Linked DNA regions of Ovis aries. The protein of the gene in region 1 purifies or fractionates together with the protein of each later gene. This does not show direct contact. Links are inferred from orthologs where the notes say so. Each region holds a gene or a part of one and is shown in the gene's direction. Other genes may lie near its edges.

Region 1 (3,961 bases):
CTGGTGGAGGAGCAGGGACCCTGAAGTGTCTGGGAAGTGTAGGGAGATTAATGATGAGGGCCACTGTCTGTTAGTGCTTTCTGTGTGACAGAGCCCGAGTGAAGTGGCTTTGGGCTGTGCTCCATTCCACCTCACAGCAAGCCCTGAGGGGAGCCCCACTTGTGGGTCAGAGAGAGGAAAGAAGCACAGGCCCAGCAAAGTCACAATGTCCCTCCACATCGTGGCTCCAGGACAGCCGGTGGCACTGGGTCACTGAAATCCTCCCTGGGCCACATGTCCCCACTCTGTGGGGACTGGCATCACCAGCAGCGCTCTTCACACAAGGGAGGACAAGACTGAGTCCCCACTGTTCCGGGGGTGAGGCTGGCCAGAGCGGTTCCGAATGCCGGCTAAGAAGCGCGAGCGTGTGCCCAGGGCACCCCAGGATAAGGCGCCGCCGTTAGTTGCACTGCAAGGAGGACACCTGCGGCCTGGAGAGGCTCAGCGTTTTGCCTGGCTCACACGGCTGGCAAGCCGCAGAGCCAGAAAGGGACCCGGAAGGCCGACCCTATGTCTACACCCAGGGGGAGACGAAGAGCAAGAGCGCTCCTCGCCTTGGGTAACCGCCCGGAGCACCGCGTGGGCGTGGCCTGACGGAGAAGGGCCGGGGAGAAGCCCTCGGGGGCGGGGATGGGGCGGGGCGGGGCGGGGAGGAGCCGGCGGTCTTGATTGGGCGCAGCTTTGAGCTTGTCACCTGACTGCCCAGGCCGGCCGCCCCATTGGCCCCGCCCCTCCCGACCAGGGTTAACCCCCAGGGCCCAATGCTGGTCACCCTGGAGGCCCCAGGCGGGAAGGCTGTACCCCGACGTCCCTGCCCCGGTGTGCAGGAGCCTCTCTGTGCAGCGCTCAGGCCAAGGGTCAGCTGGAGGCAGTGGAAGCCCTTGGAGCCCCCACTCGCAGGAACTGTAGGTCGCCTGTTCTTTTTCTTCTTTGCTTCTTACTGAGGTGCAGCTTGCAATCCCGCCATCGTAAGCGCAGAGTTCAGCGGGGTTTACCCCGAGCTGTGCAGCTACGGGCACAATCTAATTTAGGGCATTTCCATCCATCTACGCAAACCCACTCCTTCGCCTGATCCGCCTGCTCTGCCGGCGCTGCGCCGCGAGACCGTGCCGCCTGGGGGCGCGGCGACCCAGCGCTCAGCTGCGCCTGCGCCTGCGCCGCGGGAGAGTCCGAGAGCGAGCCCGTCGAGCGCGCGCCCACGCCGCGAGTGCGCCTGCGCGGAGCTCGTGGCCGTGCCCGCTCCCGCCCGGGGCTCGTCGCTGGGCGGCGGGGCCATGGGGGAGGCCGAGGTGGGCGGCGGCGGCGCGGCCGGCGACAAGGGCCCTGGGGAGGCTGCCACCAGCCCGGCCGAGGAGACGGTGGTGTGGAGCCCCGAGGTGGAGGTGTGCCTCTTCCACGCCATGCTGGGCCACAAGCCCGTCGGTGAGCAGAGCGCCGCGCCGGGGCGGCCCACCCGCGTGGGGGCGGGGCGGCCGGCAACGGTCGGGGACGCGCGCTGGGCGGGGCCTCCTGCGCTTGCACCCCGCCGACCGTGCCCTCACCTGCGCACCCTGCCCCCACCTGCGCACCCCATCCATGCTTCCTCCAGCAGTCCCCCACTCCTGCCCACGCTGCCCCCTTCTATACCCTACCCCCACCCGACTCTGCCCCCTTCCTGTGCCCAGCCACCCATCCCGGCTGACTCCAGCCCTCACGTGCACCCCCACCCCTGTGCCCTCGTTACACCTCCGCTGCACACCCCTGCCTTTTCCTCTCCCACCTCTCTCCGCTGCACCTCCTACCTCTTCCACCCTCCACCTTTGCCTCCCTACACCCTTGCAACCACTGCCCGCTCTCTCCCCCTTGCCCCCTACCTCTTCGCTACCCTACCAGCTGGCCTACCCCTCCCCCACAAGCCGACCCCTTCCTTCTGCAGGGGTGAACCGGCACTTCCACATGATCTGTATCCGAGACAAGTTCAGCCAGAACATCGGTCGGCAGGTCCCATCCAAGGTCATCTGGGACCACCTGAGCACCATGTATGACATGCAGGCACTGGTGAGCTGGACCCCCGCAGACAGAGCTGCTGGCAGGGAGCCCCCTCCACACCGCCTACCCTGCCTTTGTCCCCACCCCCCCCACCCCCCACCACCAACCACGTCCTACCTTGACATCCAGGATGTCCCACAGGTGACCAGTTGTTAAACAAGATAGCTCTGGGTAGTTTTATGAAAACACAAGCTTGGTGACAGTAGCTAGTTATTGCACTGAATCTACCTTAGATTTTGGGGGGGAGTCGAGGTTCAGTTAAGATCTTTCCAGGAGATAACTAGGGAGCTGAGGCCTGTGTGGGAGGGGGCTCTTAGGTTGTCAGTCCTGTGGAAAACTCCCGAGTGCTATAAGCAGGGAGGTGACCGGGTCTGAGTCACATTGAGATGAACATGGTGGTTTCTGTGAGAACTAGGCCAACCCTCAGGGAAGACCACCCTCAGGGAACCCCCAGATGCTGGGTCTGAGGGAGAGCAGGTCAACTTGGTAACCAGGACAGCAGAAAAGACAGGTGGGTGTTCCCTGCAGAGGAACAGCAGGAGTCAGGGCCCTGTGGCAGCAGGCGTCAGGACTCGGGGCTGCACCCGCACCCCACCCTGTGCCCCTCCCTCCTCCCTCCCTCCCACCCTGAGCTTCTAAGTGAAGCTCAGACCCTCTTGTGTCCTTAACCCTCACCACCACAAGTTCCCTGTTGGCCTTGGGAAAGTCGTTTGCATCTCCTTGTCCCAAGGCAGAGAAGGAAGAGAAATGACAGTACTGCTCTGACCCCGAGCCTGCAGTTAGCACCCAGGAACTCGAGGTCAAGCTGTTGAACTGAAGCAGGCCGCCCGAAGGGCTGTGCCCACCCGTTGGGGCACCACTCCCCCAGAATTCCAGTGTTCAGCAGCTTGGCAGGACCCCCCATGCTTGTCATGTTGGGGTGTCACCTGGCCCCCAGACGCTTCCTGCATCTCCACTCCAGGCTGGGGCCCAAAGCTGGACACAGAGACAAGTATGGGAGGGCCCCTGTCCTGAGGGGCCTTTGGTGCGGTAGACAGGACAGATGGCTCTCAAGTGCAGACGCTGGCTCAGAGGGTGCTGAGGCAGTGATGCCCCGTACAGGGTACGGTGATACTCTGCTGTGGGGGCCACCAGGGAGGCTCTCAGTCCAGGACAGGTGGCCCTTCCTTCCTCAGTTCCTTGGACCCCAGCACCGCTATAGAGCTGATGCCATGGTCACCTGGGACCTTGTAAATATGGGTCTGTGGATCTCACCCCACAGGATGACCGTGGGCCCAGGAGCTCTCGGGGTTTGTGAAGCTCCCAGCTGGCAGGTGGCACACTTACTCACTGACCACCTGGCTTGCAGCTCAGCTCCCAAGTTGGGGACTAGAAGCCCTGTCTCCTGAATCCCCTCCCAACCCAGAGACCCTTCCCACCAGCTCACCTTTCCCTTTGTCTGGTGGTGGTGTTTCTGGCTCTCTGTCCCTCCAGGCCTACGTGATCTGGGGAACAAGTGGAGCCTGGCGAGCATTCCTGGTGGCTCCTCCATTTTGCTTTGTTTGCCTGGTTTCCACGAGAGAGAACAAAGGCCTCAGGCCCCACGCCTGCCCACTGCAGCCCCTCGGGACAGCCATCTGTGCTCATTGGTCACTCCTGAGTTGGCTCTTACATCTCTAGTCACATTTTCTTTTAAATGTGATATTTAAAATCATATTTTCTTCTTTGCTTCTAAAAAAAAAAACACCCTTGTTTGTCATCAGCACGAGTCTGAGATTCTTCCGTTCCCAAATCCAGAGAGGAACTTCATCCTTCCAGAAGAAATCATTCAAGAAGTCCGAGAAGGTATGACTCGGGCAAGGGCAGATTTGGGAATGGGAAAAGGTGTCAGGGTGAAGGTCACGAGCCTCAGAGA
Region 2 (3,940 bases), on another chromosome or scaffold:
CCAAATCTGCAGCTGTGGACTCAAACATGGGGGAGACTACGACCTCCTCATCGGACAGCAAGCCAGCTGGTGGAGAAAGGATCCCTTGCGACATGGCAGCAGGGGCAGTTTAGGTCTAAAAAGAGACAAGAGTGGGTAGGGAGGAGAACCTTAAGGGATAAAAGGGGCTGAAGAATTCGCCCTCTTTTCTAGGTAAGAAACAATTCCCTTGCCCCAGGGCAACCTAGTCTCGCTGCCTGAATTCCTACTCCCTTCTCCTTTCGACTACCAGCAAACGGGAAAGAGAGAAAGAGTTAATCATTTAATCCAATCTGAGGCAGCATTTCGGACCGCGAACAGGAATGAACAGATATCTAACTCCGAAAACATAAGGCCAAGTTCCAAGTAGGGAGCCTCCCTCAGCCGTGTCAGAAGCCCTAGGCTCATTCTCTATACCTCGCTTCTAGGCCCACGGTGAGGACAGAATTATTAAGAAAAACAGAAATGGCGGCAGTTCCGCTTTCTGAATGCCTAATCCGCCAGAGCAAAGGTGCCCCAACTTGACTCAAGTTCAGCCGCACACTTACCTAAAGACGCCACACTTCTACGGGACCGGCTCACTCACACCCCACAGCCGAAACTGGGCTTTCGGCAGCTTGAGAGGACAACCCCACCCACGAAGCGCACCTTTGTTTCTGATACAATGTTTTAAATTGCGCGCTGAGTTCGTTCGGCCAATCAGATAGCGAACCTTGCACCTACCAATCAGTGCAAGGGGGCGGGCGAAACCCGGAAACGGTTTTCTTAGGCTTGACCTCTCTGCTCAAATGTGGGACGGGTTACCAACTGTTGGATTTTGGAGCTGGGTCAACTGGAACTTCTGTTTATCAGTTTTTCTTGAACCCTAGGCATTTCTTTTCTAAGAAGCCTGAAGGAAATCCTAAGGCTTCAGCCACCATTCTCTGTTCTTTCGCACATTCCTTCTCAGGAACTCACAAGAATACCTGATTTGGGGCGCTGGTTCATCCTAGGGTGGGGAGAGGGGACTACATTTCCCAGGACGCACCGCGAATAAACGCTGGAACGCTATCTCCCAGAATTCCTTGGGCTTCAATTCGGCCAGAAATCTTCCTTCGGGGGTTGGAGACGTCGGGGCCAAGATGGCGACGGGAACGGGCAGTAAGTATCTGCCTTGCTCTTGCGTGGAAGGTGTTTGTAGAACCAAGGCCAGGCAACAGATCTGTCACACTCTTAGGGAGTAGAAGCAGTGATTCACCTGAGAGCCCAGAGCCATCAGAGACTTGGGCTCGAGCGGCGCTGTTAAGGCCAGCGGTTGGGGGTTGAGGGCCCAGAAGCGTGAAGTCTTACACTTAAGTAAGGCCGCGGAGTTTTTTTGCTTTTAGAATTTTTATTTATTGGCTGCGCTGGGTCTTCGTCGCTTTCCGTGGACTGTTCTCTAGTTGCCGCGAGGAGTGCTCCTCTCTAGTTGTGGTGTGCAAGGCCACGGAGCTTTGAGAAAAGCAGCCTAAGAAAATTCTTGTATGTTTGTCAGCTCTGCGGGGTGAGAGGGAAAAAAGGTGCCTTAGAGGCTCCGGCGTGCGGACAGAGATGCTGTGAGCCATATGGAGTGGCCGGGGTCCCAAAGAGTCATTTTCTGACGAACATTTGTGAGGCCTGTACTCACAGAGAGATGGGACATGTTAATCGTGAGCTTTTTCTGCCACTAGGGAAAAAATACATTTCCTGTATCTCAGCCATTTCCCTCTGTTTCAGGGACTGAGAAGGTCTTGTAGGCCTAACAGCTTGAGGGGAATGGGTGTAACTGAGAGAAGTAAACAAGTTTATGCTAAGAAGGAGGCGGGGCAGTAGCGGGGGTTGGCCGCTCGGAATCCTGGGAAATAAGGCCTGGGGTCCACTTTGGAATAAAGCATTCTTTTTTTTTTGGCCAGGGCAGAGCTGGGAGGTTGGTGGTTGGCAGGATCATGGGACCCACGTCCCCTCTAGGGAAAAGGCACAGACTTAACCACTGGACCACCAGGGAAGTTCCTGGAATAAAGCATTCTTAAAACTGGGTTTTTTGGAAGAACTGCCCTAAATTAACTTGACTTTTTTTTTTTTAAATATGGTAGAGTAACCATGGCATTTACAGAAAAATGTTTTGCCAGATAATCAAGTGCAGTTCTCAAGCAATGAATAGGCACCATCCTAGTGGTGGTGTTTACTAGAGAGGTGAAAATCAAGATTTGGTGATAGTGGCTCACTTTGTCCTTACAGGTTAGGACATTTTTGTATTAGACTTTTAATCCTCCCTTTGGGACTTAGTGCCTCAGTGGTTGTCTCTAAATCTTTCAGAACATAAGCTGCTGAGTACTGGCCCTACAGAGCCATGGTCCATCCGAGAGAAGCTGTGTTTAGCGTCTTCTGTCATGAGGAGTGGAGATCAAAATTGGTAAGGTATTTAGGATATCTGCTTCCTTGGGTATTAGAAACCGTTTTTTTTTTTTCCCCTTCATGTAAGTACCGGTGGATTCCAGTAGTTAACGTTTAAGCAGTAGTTAACAGCCTTCTTGAGATGCAATTACATATCACAAAATTATATTCACAGAATTCCCAGTATATTCACAGGATTTAACTTAATTTATTAAAATTATTAAAACTTATTAATATTTAATTTATTAAATTCACATAATTTACATAGGACCAATGCTAGAGTCTAATTTTACATTTTAAATACACTTGAAAGAAACCTCTTACCCTTAAGGAATCACTCTGCAAATCTCTTCGCCTCTCTAATATTTCCGCCTCCCTCACCAAACACTCATCTACTTTCTGTCTCTCTATAGCTTATTCTGATCATTTCATATAGATGGAATCATATACTTTGTGGTACTCTGGGGCTTAGCATAATGCTTTCAGGGTTCATGCTGGAGTATGCATCAGTACTTTATTCTTTGTTTTGATGAAATTGTAGTTCCTTGTATGGGTTTACCACATTTTGTTCATTTGTTGATGAACATTTGAGTGGTTTTTACTTTGCTGAATATTAATGCCGCTGTGAACATTTGTGTACAAGCTTTTGTGCAGGCATGTTTTCATTTCTCTTGAAAGAGTGGAATTGCTGGATCATAGTTGAGTTCAGTCACTCAGTCGTGTCCAACTCTGCTACCCCATGGACTGCAGCACGCCAGGCTTCCCTGTCCATTACCAATTCCTGGAGTTTACTCAGACTCATGTCCATTGAGTTGGTGATACCATCCAACCATCTCATCCTCTGTTGTCCCCTTCTCCCGCCTTCAATCTTTCCCAGCATCAGGTCTTTTCAAATGAGTCAGCTCTTCAAATCAGGTGGCCAAAATATTGGAGTTTCAGTTTCAACATCAGTCCTTCCAGTGAATATTCAGGACTGATTTCCTTTAGGGTGGACTGGTTTGATTTCCTTTCAGTCCAAGGGACTCTCAATGGATCATATTATAACTCATATTTATCTTTTTGAGGAACTGCTTTCAAACTAAAAAGTGGCCTCACCGTTTTACATTCCCACCAGCAATAAATGAGGGACCCAGTTTTTCTGCATGCTTGGCAAACATTTAGTCTTTTTGATTATAGCTATACTGCTGAGTGTGAAATGGTATTGTATTGTGGTTTTAATTTGTGTTTCTTTTAAGTACCAGAAAGTAGGACTGTGTGTGTTTTCCAATCTTTTTTTCTACCAGGACATAGTCTCATTTTTAACATTTGGTCTCCCCGCCCCCGACTTTTTTTTTTCTCTCCGTATCTAAAGTTACCTTTTAGTTGTCTTAAGTGTTAAAATTACTTAATAAACAAATTTGCATTTGTAGGGTTTATCTCTACTACTTTAACCATTCAAATGAGTTTATGAAAGCACCATTACTGATCACATGTAACACTTCTACAATTCTATGTATTTTTCAAATAACTTTTCAAAGAGAAAACCAGAATA
Region 3 (4,273 bases), about 22 Mb from region 1:
TTAGCAGGTACTCAGAGGGCCCCTGAGGTCTCAAAAAAACGTTTGCTGGTTGAGTCAGTCAATGCATCCTCTTAGTACAGGACTTGTAGGTGAATGTCTGCTACACAGAAGTGAGCTGTCAGTATTTGAGTTTGATGATAATTTTGGAGAACTGCAATCCCGTTTTCTCCTTTCCTTCTCCCCACCCCATCCGGGTGGTAGCTAAACCAGACTGAAAGATAACACCTTGCTTCTGTGCCTTAAGCTAATAACAGTTCCCATCCAACCCATTATTTAAGAAGTGATTATTTTTATTATGTGTCCCCTGGGGAGAAAAGCGGAGGTACAGAGCATTTTTGGATCTCGGTGAATATTTGAAATTTTACTGCCAAACCTATTAAATCCACCGCAACAGTCTTTCGGGTTTTTAAAATATTCTGCTGGAGAGGGCTCTCTGGATACTCATTTTCATGTGTAATATAAACCACATGGTAGCCATCATATCCATCTAAATACTCATCTAATAGTTTTTCTTTCTAAAAAAACATTTTGGGGGGGGCGGTTGGCAGGAGTGCTATAAGTCTTCAAATAATTGTAAAAAGTTTTTTAGAGGACAAGTGTCAACCCATGGTTAAATAAGGTAAAGGTAAAAATAAGTGTCAACCCATGGTTACGTTGAAGCAACATTTTCTTCCAGTGCAGAAAAATCATCCGGCTCTCAAAATGTGAACTAGGTCTTGCTTTTATATTTTTTCCGTAAAGGGTTACGGTGCCCGATAATTATTATTCCCTTTACTTCGATGACAATAAACGTGACTGTGGGTCGATAAAAATGCAGGATGAAAAAATAAATAAAACCACCAAAATCCTAGTTGGAGCAAACGTAGGACGCCTCTTGTTTACACTGAGCGCAATGATGGGAACTGACCCAGGATCCAAGCGGAGACGAGCAAATACCGTCCAGAGTTTCCTTACACGTAAAGATAATGGCCGGTTAAAAAGTTCACTCAAAGTAGCATCCCGGCCCGAATGGCGTCTGTAGTTTCGTTATAAAACTTGAGACGCCGCGCCGGCCGGGGCTGGGGGCGCCCGCTCCCTCACCCAGGGCCCGGCCGCCAGCGCTGACAGGTGCCCGGGGCCGTCGCCGCGCCGAGGGGGTGCTGTAGCTTCGCTGCACCCTCGCCTGTCAGCCAACGGCGCCGGCGGGAGCGAGCGCGGGACGGCGGGCGCGCAGGGCGGGAGGCCGGCCGTGGTCCCCGGCGTCCGAGTGCCCCGCGCGCCGCCCAGACCCGGCCGGTCCGCCCGCGACCGCGGGGGCGGGGGCCGAGCTGCCGGGCGCGGGGGAGCGGGGCCGGGCGCCGGGGGTTGGCGGGACGCGCGCTCCGTGCCGGCGCCCGGCCTCGAGCCCGCGGCCCCCCCCCCCCGCGTGCCCGCGCCGCTGCGCGATGCAGTGTGGGGAATGGCTGGGGTTGGCTGAAGAGCGCACAGTGGAGTTTTAATGTCCGCCATGTTGGCCATGGCGTATTGAGGAGAGCGAGCGAGAGAGGAGCGGAGCGTCTCGGCCTCCCACCTCCAGGCGGCTCTGAGTGCCCGGACGGCGGGCCCCGCGCTCCGCCCCTCCAGTCCCCGGCAGCGGTGGGCGAGTGGGGACCGAACCCCCGGTTCTCCATGATCCCGCTGGCCGGGGCCGTTTCCCCAGAGCGGAGAGGTATCTGCTGCGCCTGAGATGAGTAAACTGTCGTTTCGGGCGCGGGCGCTAGACGCCTCGAAGCCGCTGCCGGTTTTCCGCTGTGAGGATCTGCCCGACCTGCACGAATACGCCTCGATAAACCGGGCCGTGCCGCAGATGCCCACCGGAATGGAGAAGGAAGAGGAGTCGGTACGTGTTAACTCCCCTGTCCGACCCGCCGCCGGGCCCCGCTCCCTCCGCTGCCTGCGGCGGCGGCGGAGCGCAGACCCACACAAAATGGCCGCCATCTTCTCTCCGCCGCCGACTCCCGTCGCCGGCCGGGCCTTTACCCTGGGGCCCCCGGCCTCGCCCCCCGGCCGCCGCGGCCCGGCGAGGCCTCCTCTCGGGCCACCCGCCGACCCTGGCCCCTCGGACGCGGGGCCCGCGGAGTTCGGGCGCCCGAAAGGCACAAAGGGGTCACGTGACGAGGCTGCCGGCAGCCATTTTGTGGTCGGAGCGCTTGGGCTGGGCCTTGTGCATCCGGAGAGGGAGCGGGCGGGCGGCGGGGGGTGCGGCGGCCGGGCCGCGGAGGCCCTGCCTGCAGGCCTCTAGGCGGGCCGCTGGGTGGCGCTCTGGGGCCGGCTCGGCCTTCGCGCGCCGCCGGCGCCGGGAGCGCAGGTTCCGGGCGCTCGGGTGGCGGTGCTCTCTCGGCGGCCCGCAGGCTGGCGGGGCTGCGCGGCCCACGTGGACCCGCCGAGAGGCCGGGCGGGGTGGCGGGCGTCCTGCAGCGGAAGGTCGAGGCCGGCGAGCAGCCCAGAGCCGACTTGCGTCCTACGTCCTCTTTCTGGGACTTTTGCATCCATTCCTCCGAGTCCTACTTAATCGGAGGGTTGTCAACTCCTGCTCCTCCTGACTTTTTCTTTGATCCTTGAGAACATGTTGCAGATTTTGAAGGGAACTCCGTGGCTCTTCTAAAGCCTGTGTAACTTTATTATTTCTTTTCCTAATAAAAATGTAAGTTCGCCTGATTGCTGGTTTCTCAACCTGCGGGAGACAAGACCCAGTCTAAGTAGATGTTAACAGATCTCCGTTTAGAAAAAGGGTTCTTTCTTATCCATCACCGAACTCAAGTGGAGTGAACTCTTAACCGGGAGATGTTTTCCTTGAGGGGGGGGCTTCAGTGTTTAAATGTTGACAGCTTACAGACACTGTGTCGTAGCTGTGGCTGTCCTTGGTCGTGGAAGTTGGGCTCAGACACAAGACTTCGTCTCGTTTCCCCCAGATCCTTGTCGGTGTCATTCGATGCCGACTAAGGAATTGCATACCTTGGTTTTCAGGTACAGCCACTTAAACAGGGGGGGCAGTGTGTTGACAGTTCAAGAAGTCGAGGAGTCGCTGGATTGGTACTACAATTTTGTGGTGGAAAACTATATTGTAATACCTCTATTTGGTACTGTACGGAATTTTTTTAATGTAGAAATTTTGCTCTGTACTGTTGATTTTGAAAATAAAGCTGTTGAAACTGTTTGGGTTGTTCAACCTTTTAAAGTCAAAAAGTTGTGACAGTTGACTCTTCCTTCGGAGAGTAGTGTCTTTAGCGTGTGTAGTAGTTGAGATTGTCTAGTCCTGACTCCGAGCACGTTACCTATGAGACAGAATCTCCTAATTTCTTTTACTTGTTACCAACTTTGAGAGTAGAATGGTGCCGTTTGTTTATTTTTAAATGAGTGATTTGTTTTTAAAAATTAAAGTACTTGTGACTGCAGAATCTTGTCTTTTGGTTTTATTTTTGTTTCTTAAGTTTTACAAATATGCTTTCAAGATGGGGGTGTCAGTGTTAAGACTGACCTGGAAATTAAGTTGTGGCTATTGTTTTGCCCCCAAGGAGCTGCAGAGCTTTGATAAAAACAGCACTACACAGTACACCTTAGAAACATACTGAAGTCTGGCTTCTTTGAACACTTCGGGCTGTCTCAGGAGCCACAGCCTAAGATCAGAGCTGAACCCAGCTGGAGTACCAAGGCTTATTACATTTTTACGGATAATTTTCATTCACTGAAAGAATTTTGACGTTTGTTATTTTCTAACATGTAGAGTCCCTATTTTTCAGGGGATTTTTTCCCCCCTCAGACTACCTTCTCCTATCATCCGTTTAGAATTTGTTTCACTTCACATCCAACCAAAACTATGACCAGTGAAACGGAGACCTCAGGAATAAATACTGAAGAGAGGAATGTAAACAGTCCCAGGTGGAACAGCTGCTCTCCAGTCCTGTGGTTCATACTGGCCAGAGGAGGCTGTGTAGCTCAAATCACAGCATTAAAAGTAGCATGTTGATGTTGAAAACGTATACTAAGCACAAATAAAGGTAACTGAATATTGAGTTAGCGTTAGAAAAACAGTCCTTTTGATAATTTGCTAAAGAAGGATATGCTTCTTATAAAGACAAAAGATTAAAACAAACGTCTGCTTCTGCTTGACACGTTAGTTAGGGTCAGGAGTTGATCACGAAAGATGGGACAGGATTAGATGACAATAGTTTCATGTGTGTGTGTCACCTTATGAAAATTGTGTGGACCATACCTGGTAATTGTTAGCGTATTTTGTTTCTGTGGTAAATGTGAC
Region 4 (3,512 bases), on another chromosome or scaffold:
ATAGTAACGATTGTCAAGTATTTTTAAAGGCATTAACACTTGGAAAAATGAATAGGGCATAAAGATTTGGATTGTTTATTGCCCTAGCTCTTTCTCATAAATAGTTGCTTCTCAGTTTAGTAACTTTCTTATTTCACAGATGAAAATAGTCTATGAAGTCCTAGATCTCTTAACATAAAAACTTTTAACTATTCAGAATGAAAAAGGCAACAGCCTCTTGGGTTATCTCACTTTTTTAAGTGTTTGTGAACTCACATCTGAAAAGTTGAGAGTTTAACTTTGTTCATTTTATAGGGCTCAAGCACCTCTGACTGTATGTCTAAAACACTTGACTCAGCCAGCGCCCATTTTGCTGCATCTGCAGTGGTCAGTGCACCTGTTCCAAGTCGCAGTGAGGTAGCCAAGGAACAGAACACTGGCCACAGCAACATAAACGGTGTTGTCCAGCCTTCAGGTAAGCCTGTCGTTTCAAGTGATACTTACTAGTTCAAAGTTGCAACTCAGTGATTTGAGATTTGGTTTTTTATTTATTTATTTATTTTTGGCGGGGGGGGGGGGGGGGGGGGGTTGATTTTTAAATCCAGAGGGGAAACATTGTACAAGAAGTCAGTTAGGACTCCATAATTTCTATGGCTCTGTGTGGTGGAATAGCTTGATGTTTCTAAAAGTCACATCAAGCCTGCTCCCTGGGTCCTCCCATGCCCAGTTGATACCTACCTGTGTAACAGTCCACCCTGCCTAGTTTTATCTACATACTATCATTTGCCTCACATCTTACCAGTCACATCAAGCCAATTGCTAACCATCATTGTTGAATCATTTGTACATTCTTAAAGAGGAGAATTATATTAATAGTCCAGATGATCTGTCAGAAGTTGGAAATTGGATTTACCTTCCCAGTCTTACACACTCACAGCCCTGCTTTCTGTGACTCCTTGTGAAGTACAGTATTGCTGTGAAACTATTTCTGCGTCAAACTACCGAGAGTACTTTGTTCTTCCTATCAGCCTTTAACTTCTGCTCAGACCCTAGGATTTTCCACTTGCTATTCCATATACCTATGATTGTGATTGCCCTTCCTTACTGATGTTCTTCCTTGTGCAAATTCTAATGGAAGTCCAATTTTCATCTCCACCTGCCCTCAGTCTCCAAGAAGACCTCTCTGTCCTGTTACACAGTTTCCATATATGAAGGCAGCAGAATACTTTGCAAAACTGTTTTATGCAGGCTAGCAGAAAGAGGGTATCTTTGGGGTTGTACAGGTGAATATGTTGTGGTTATTGATTAGAAACTCTCTTCAGAGATTTAATTAGATTACAAATGTTTGCATTTTAAACTCCTAATTTTTTAAAGAGTTTAATTAATGTCTCATGAGTTGAACAGTTTTTTTTCCTTCTCCTTCAGGAACCTCTAAAACATTATACTCCACCAATATGGCTTTATCATCCAGCCCAGGGATTTCAGCTGTACAGCTTGTAAGGACAGTTGGCCACACCACTACAAACCACTTAATCCCAGCATTGTGCACAAGCAGTCCTCAAACACTTCCCATGAACAATTCCTGCCTGACAAATGCAGTGCACCTCAATAACGTCAGTGTTGTTTCTCCAGTCAATGTGCATATCAATACACGGACTTCAGCACCATCGCCAACAGCCTTAAAACTCGCCACAGTTGCTGCCAGTATGGACAGAGTGCCAAAGGTTACTCCTAGCAGTGCCATCAGCAGCATAGCCAGGTGTGTGTGTGTGTGTGTGTATTTCAAGTATCATTCTGTCTCTTTCTGCTGGCTCAGATCCTGTGGGAGGAGAAGACTTTTCCTTTTTTTCTTTTACTGCTCAAACCATAGATATCTTGTCAGCTGATTGACTTGCTTTTCAACAGATATTGAATATCTGCTTAGTCTAAAGCTGTATGACTTAGATCTTTAAGGTCCCTAGTAGAATGTTTAAATGCCAATCAGAACTGTTACTTTAAAAAAGGGGGGAGGATAGTCCACATCAACTTGGGAACCATCAAACTGAAAAAATACATCAGCTTTAGTTATTCTTATATTTCTTCTTTGTAGTTTAGGCAGTCTGGCAGGCTAGAGTTATTGTTAGCCTTCAGAGCTTTAGTTTTCAAATCAAATTTGTATTTTTTTAACATTACACCCAAAGGGAAAGTAAATTATTTTGTGTATGTTTTAGAACTGAGAATATCCTGGAATTAACTAAATCTATGATAATGTATTTCAGATTGCTTTTTTCTTTCTGTGACACTAATGCATGCGAACAGTGAATCAAAAAAATTGATCTGCATAGATTAATAACTACATGACCATAAGCTGTAAAATTAAACTGTAGTGGAAAGTAATTTAAGTAATGTTGTGCTTCCAGTTATTATTATGTATGAGCATCATCTGCTCTGTCTATTGTAAAAAGCTTGAATTGTCCTATATTATATGTTTGATAAGTAATTTATCATTGACTGCTACTGAAATACTGTTAAGTTGCTCTTTTTCCTAAGTAAATAATTATAATCAAGTTCATAGGATTTCTTAACTGAAGAAAACTTTTCCTTATTCCTGTATGGAAACTGTAAAAATGGGAGATGTTCTTGTGCAGTATGTTTAATTGTAATTATATAAAACACATCTGTAAATACTAAATGATAAACATCATATTCTAGAGAGTATTAATGTTTATTTTACTCTTTGCCTTATTATAGAGAGAACCATGAACCAGAAAGATTGGGTTTAAATGGAATAGCAGAGACAACAGTAGCTATGGAAGTGACATAACCTAAAACATGTGGCTTTGACCTGTGCTGATGGTGTGCAGTCATTCATATTCCAGCTGAATGCAAAAGGCGAAACTCTGTGGATCACAGAGGATAACAATGGACCTAAATGGACTATAGTATATCGGATGTTGAATCGATATATGATGTATATTTTGTAAAATTGGGAAAATCACTACCTTGTAAAATAGTTTATTTGTATCATCAATATTATTTCTGTTACTTGAATAGTAGATATTCATCATCATGCTTTTGCACTTGAATTTGCAACTGAATGGATTTTAAAAAATAATTCTTTAATGGGATCATGAGCATGAAATGGGATCCTGCATCACTTGTTTTAACTATTTATTTTGCCATGTTTACATTTTGTATCTTGTAAAAATAAATCCAACTTTGTGTCTAAAAAGTTAAAGATTCATAGCTAGGAAATGAAATTCTTGTAATTTTTTTCTAAAGGAACTGTAAAGTTTTCACTTGGTTCATTTTGTTTCACAATTTGACTAGATGGACTTTTTGGTAAATACTTTAGTGGCATTTCACTGTCAAATATGAAGTTCAAGGCAAAATAGTATTTTCTATTACTGTGCAGGGGAAAGGGATGGATCGATACATGCAAATTTAATGTAGTGACTCACTTTTCCATATATTTTGAATGTATATTTCTATTTATAATACCAGTTTATAAAAAATGATTACACAGAAAAAAAGGACTAGGAAAAATTATGCAT
Region 5 (4,147 bases), on another chromosome or scaffold:
TGGGAAAGATTGAAGGCAGGAGGAGAAGGGAAGGCCAGAGAATGAGATGGTTGGATGGCATCACCATCTGGTGATGCAGAAGGAAATGGCAACCCACTCCAGTGCTCTTGCCTGGAAAATCCCATGGACGGAGGAGTCTGGTAGGCTACAGTCCATGGGGTCCCAGAGAGTCGGACACAACTGAGCAACTTCATTTCACTTCACTGACTGGATGAACATGAGTTTGAGCAAACTCTAGGAGATGGTGAGGGACAGGGAAGCCTGGTGGGCTGCAGTCCATGCAGTTACAAAGAATCAAACACGATTTAGTGAGTGAACAACAACCGAGATTACACTAAGTGAATAGTAAAGGGTTTTCTCACTAGCCTTGTTCCCTATCCTACAATCACTTTCTGCCACTCTGTGGCACTGAGATTGATGGAGTTAATCAATTGTTCTTAAAAACTACCTATATGTCTAGACTCTAGACAAACTAATTTAAGGACGGCTATTAACCTCAAGGATTTACAACATGACCGTGATTTGGGAGTTTTTATAGATCAAGCTGCCTGCTAAGAGGCAAAGGGACAAATTGTTGTAGTAATCCTGGGAGAGGGACAACGGTGATCTGACTGGGTTGGTAGACACAGGGGACTAAGAACAGACCGTTCCGAGATGTGTTTAGGATTAGGTGCTCGCTCAGGTGAGGACTGATTACATTGTATTACACCTGCCTCACAGGATAAAAGGAATTGATGACACATTTTAAGCGCTACTAAAGTTAACTGGGATACTGTGTCATCTCCTTCTTTTAATTATTAGTAACCACTTTTAAAATTCCAGGGTCTTATCGGTTTGTCTGGTTTACTGATGCCCTCTACCCCAAAGTGGAGGATAACATTCAATTTTTTCAGTTAGTTGAAAATACTTTTTCTGAAAAAAATAAAAACAAAAAACAAAAAAACACCAACCCTCATTCACTACAAGCCCAAACCACGGGTACTCCTGGTGGAGACACTTTCTCAAATTCCAGACTTCTTTTTCAGAGGCTTAGCTTGCTCTACCGGATTCCCACCTCTCCTCCGCTCCCAGCTACATCCTGAGCCCGCCCCAGACTGTTGCCTCCAGCCTTCCTCCTCCCCCTCCAGCTCCCTCCGCCCCACTTTCCCTCCCACTAAAGAAGCCCCGCCTCCCCGGTTCCGCAACCCAACTCCTTCCCTCCTTCCGTCGCTTTCCTCTCTCCCCGCCCCTATGGCTGCCTTCGATTGGCTAAACTGGCTGTGCCGCGACAAGGCTGTAGCACAGCCTTATTTTTATTGGTTGAAGTGTAGCCGGGCCTCTTGTGATTGGCCGATAGCAGGAGACAGCAAGTGTGACTGCGTTCCGGGTGTGTGTGGCCGCCGCTTTGTTGCCTGAGGGGGGTGGTGGTGGAAGTTAAGGGAGTCGGGGGCTAGCGCTTCTGCAGACCCGCAGTCGCAGCCGTTGCAGTCATTTCGCCAGGTGGCCTTTACGAGTAGAAGTCTCGTCGACAGCAACCATGAGCGGCGGGGTATACGGGGGAGGTGAGTGCGGTCGGTCGGGAGAGCGCGCCTTTTTAGCTTGTGGGGTTTGTAACCGCCGCCCCCAGCCCTCCCCTTCCCGGCGGCCCTTCCGGTCTCCCCCTGGGGACCCCGGCCTCCCCGCCCTATCCCCGCCCCGCGCTCTGCCCGCCTCCGGAGCCCACCCGGCTCGGCGAGCGCTACAGGCGCCGGGAGTCGCCGCCCCCTACGGCCCCTTCCAGCCTCGGGCCGCCGAGGAGCCGACTTTTGGGGCTGCGCGCGGTCCGGGGCTGGTCGGGCAGCTCCACTCGCGGGCCAGGCCCGGAGAGCCGCGGCTGGAGTGACTGGCCGCAGGGTCACCTCTCTCCCAGCCGGCTCTGTCGCGGTGTGCGCGCCCGTTTAAAGTTGGGAGGTCCCAGCAGTTCGTCGGCGTGGCTGGAGGGTTTCCGCGGCGTCTCGGAGGTGGCACAGCGAGCCGCGAGGAGTGGAACTGATTGGAGGAGTCGTGGCCACTCAGGACACAGCCTCCTTCTCCATCCGCGCTCACGCAGCCTCACGCCTTTCAATAACTTCTCCCTATTTGTTGACTGTGGATGCTCCGGACTTATTCGTGGGCGACTCTGCACCGGCGTAATTTAGGAACATATGCAATTTAAGGTTGCTTAAAGATGGGTGGGCTCCTGTGTAGTGAAAGATTACCATGGGCCTGGGTTGTAATATCAGCCTCACCACTTAGTAAGCTCATTGGCCTTGGGTAAGTTACTTAACTTTTGCCAACTTCAGGTTCGTCGTTTGTAGAATGATAATTCCTACCCATTGGGGTGGTTGTGAAGATTAAACGGCGGTAATGCTGCACTTACTACTAAAAGTATGATCCAAGGAGCAGCAGCAGCAGCATCACCTGCAAGCTCTTTAGAAATGTAAAATCTCAAGCCCCACTCTAAATCTACCGAATTGGAGCCTCCGTTTTTTCGAGATGCTTAGATGAAGCATTGATGTATATGATTCATGTTTTTGATGAATTAGAGAAGAAAGAAACTCAAAGTCGTGCTTTTGTTACTGTGTTCAGTAAGGATACTGTTTTCTGAGCGGATGGAATATTATAGGTAGGAGATGAAAATAAGCTTTTCAAAGTTTTTAGTAGTTTTGAAGTGAAGCTTGAGTTTCTGCTCAGGTGACACGCTGGCCCTCACCCTCTCCTTCTCCATATATGTTTTTGGTTTTGATTTCTGAAGTGTAAGAATCAGTTTTCCATTGTTACTTTGGAGAAAGCCTAGTGGATCTTCATGATTTACTTTTTCCCCACCTGAAGATGTAATTCTGACAAAAAAGCTGAGTATACGTGCTCGTGGAGGCTGCAGACTCTATTTTTTGTTTTGTTTCGTTTTTGGCCTCACCATACAGCCTGTGGGATCTTAGTCTCCAGATCAGGGACAGAACCAAGCCCCCTGCGTGGGAACCACAGAGTCTTAATTACTGGACCACTAGGGAAGTCCCTCTCCAGTGTTCTTGCCTGGAGAATCCCAGGGAGGGGCGAGCCTGGTGGGCTGCTGTCTATGGGGAAGTCCCTGCTGATTGTTTTGACTCTCAGGTTCACTCATCTAAGGACCTAAAGGTTGTCCACTGAGTATTTTAATGTGAGTAAGGTAGAAATGGATACCAATAATTGCAACAGTCAACATTTATTGAGTGCATCCTGTGTACCAGGAACTGTTCTTCATGACAGAGGCTTGTAATGCATTGTATTTAATACATGCATTGTCAGTTAATCCACAACAGCCATGGGAGGTGGTTCTACTTTTCCCCATATTACTAAAGAAGAAAATAAGGCATAGAAAAGATTAACCAGCCTAGAGTTACATAACTTTCTAGCAAATGGGCAACAGGAACTTCTGGGATAAAGAAAAGGCATTTCAGTAAAACCTTTTCTCATTAAAAAAATTTTAAGTCATTTTTCAAGTATATAACCACAGCATATTCATGTATGATTTAGATATTCAGAATAAACATCACTTTGTTCATGTAGAGGAGTATATCTTAAAGCCTGTTTCACATATAAAGTATTTAAAACTGACAAAAATAAGTGTATGATTTTGTGTTTGAGCTGCTACTGTATGACCAGTATTTATAGTGGGTCACATTTCCCAAAAGGTTTACTGTAAAAGGCAACGAAACCTCCCACCCACATTTTGTGTGTAATTAACTTAGTAAACTGTATTTTTAACTAACTTGCTTATAAAATGAATGTTTGTAGTTTAATTTTTAAAATTGGTAGCTCTTTTATTCCAGTGTTTTTTTCCTGATCAGACCTAACACTCCGCTTTAGATCTAATGCACAGTTCATCCAGATTTTCACACTTTCCATAACTGGTTTCTGGGCCTACTCATTGCTCCTGTGTCTATCTTACACGGTACTCCTCTGCTTCAGTCTCCTTTCCTTGACAGAAATAAACAGGTATACTACCGGTCCATCTTCGATACTTCATTACTTTTATCATTCCACAGCCCCCCTTCCCATCTCTAATCATAAAAACTTCTCAAAATCATTCTCCCTGTGAATTGGGGCACCCTTGTCCAAACAAAAAAGTAAAACAGCCTTCTTACCTCTTCGCAAAGTCAGCTTCCAGTAT

The links.
Region 2: the proteins of MRGBP (region 1) and BRD8 purify together in Homo sapiens (affinity purification with mass spectrometry; 10 studies listed by BioGRID and IntAct, counting the BioPlex papers as one, with this or other methods). This does not show direct contact. The link is inferred for Ovis aries from reciprocal best matches to the Homo sapiens genes MRGBP and BRD8.
Region 3: the proteins of MRGBP (region 1) and EPC1 purify together in Homo sapiens (affinity purification with mass spectrometry; 6 studies listed by BioGRID and IntAct, counting the BioPlex papers as one, with this or other methods). This does not show direct contact. The link is inferred for Ovis aries from reciprocal best matches to the Homo sapiens genes MRGBP and EPC1.
Region 4: the proteins of MRGBP (region 1) and EPC2 purify together in Homo sapiens (co-immunoprecipitation; 4 studies listed by BioGRID and IntAct, counting the BioPlex papers as one, with this or other methods). This does not show direct contact. The link is inferred for Ovis aries from reciprocal best matches to the Homo sapiens genes MRGBP and EPC2.
Region 5: the proteins of MRGBP (region 1) and ACTL6A purify together in Homo sapiens (co-immunoprecipitation; 4 studies listed by BioGRID and IntAct, with this or other methods). This does not show direct contact. The link is inferred for Ovis aries from reciprocal best matches to the Homo sapiens genes MRGBP and ACTL6A.

The regions. Positions count from the first base shown.
Region 1 is NC_056066.1:54,281,706-54,285,666, reverse strand, and holds the start of MRGBP (MRG/MORF4L-binding protein), read left to right. Parts: upstream 1-1,159; 5' UTR 1,160-1,313; coding exon 1,314-1,461; intron 1,462-1,954; coding exon 1,955-2,076; intron 2,077-3,809; coding exon 3,810-3,891; intron 3,892-3,961.
Region 2 is NC_056058.1:47,270,498-47,274,437, reverse strand, and holds the start of BRD8 (bromodomain-containing protein 8), read left to right. Parts: upstream 1-1,130; 5' UTR 1,131-1,139; coding exon 1,140-1,158; intron 1,159-2,331; coding exon 2,332-2,428; intron 2,429-3,940. Other genes in the region: kinesin-like protein KIF20A, read right to left, coding at 1-94. UniProt on the Homo sapiens protein: May act as a coactivator during transcriptional activation by hormone-activated nuclear receptors (NR). Isoform 2 stimulates transcriptional activation by AR/DHTR, ESR1/NR3A1, RXRA/NR2B1 and THRB/ERBA2.
Region 3 is NC_056066.1:32,530,188-32,534,460, forward strand, and holds the start of EPC1 (enhancer of polycomb homolog 1), read left to right. Parts: upstream 1-1,463; 5' UTR 1,464-1,705; coding exon 1,706-1,858; intron 1,859-4,273. UniProt on the Homo sapiens protein: Component of the NuA4 histone acetyltransferase (HAT) complex, a multiprotein complex involved in transcriptional activation of select genes principally by acetylation of nucleosomal histones H4 and H2A.
Region 4 is NC_056055.1:160,774,398-160,777,909, reverse strand, and holds part of EPC2 (enhancer of polycomb homolog 2), read left to right. Parts: intron 1-294; coding exon 295-454; intron 455-1,404; coding exon 1,405-1,865; 3' UTR 1,866-2,709; coding exon of another isoform or gene 2,710-2,782; 3' UTR 2,783-3,512. UniProt on the Homo sapiens protein: May play a role in transcription or DNA repair.
Region 5 is NC_056054.1:208,341,945-208,346,091, reverse strand, and holds the start of ACTL6A (actin-like protein 6A), read left to right. Parts: upstream 1-1,347; 5' UTR 1,348-1,516; coding exon 1,517-1,541; intron 1,542-4,147.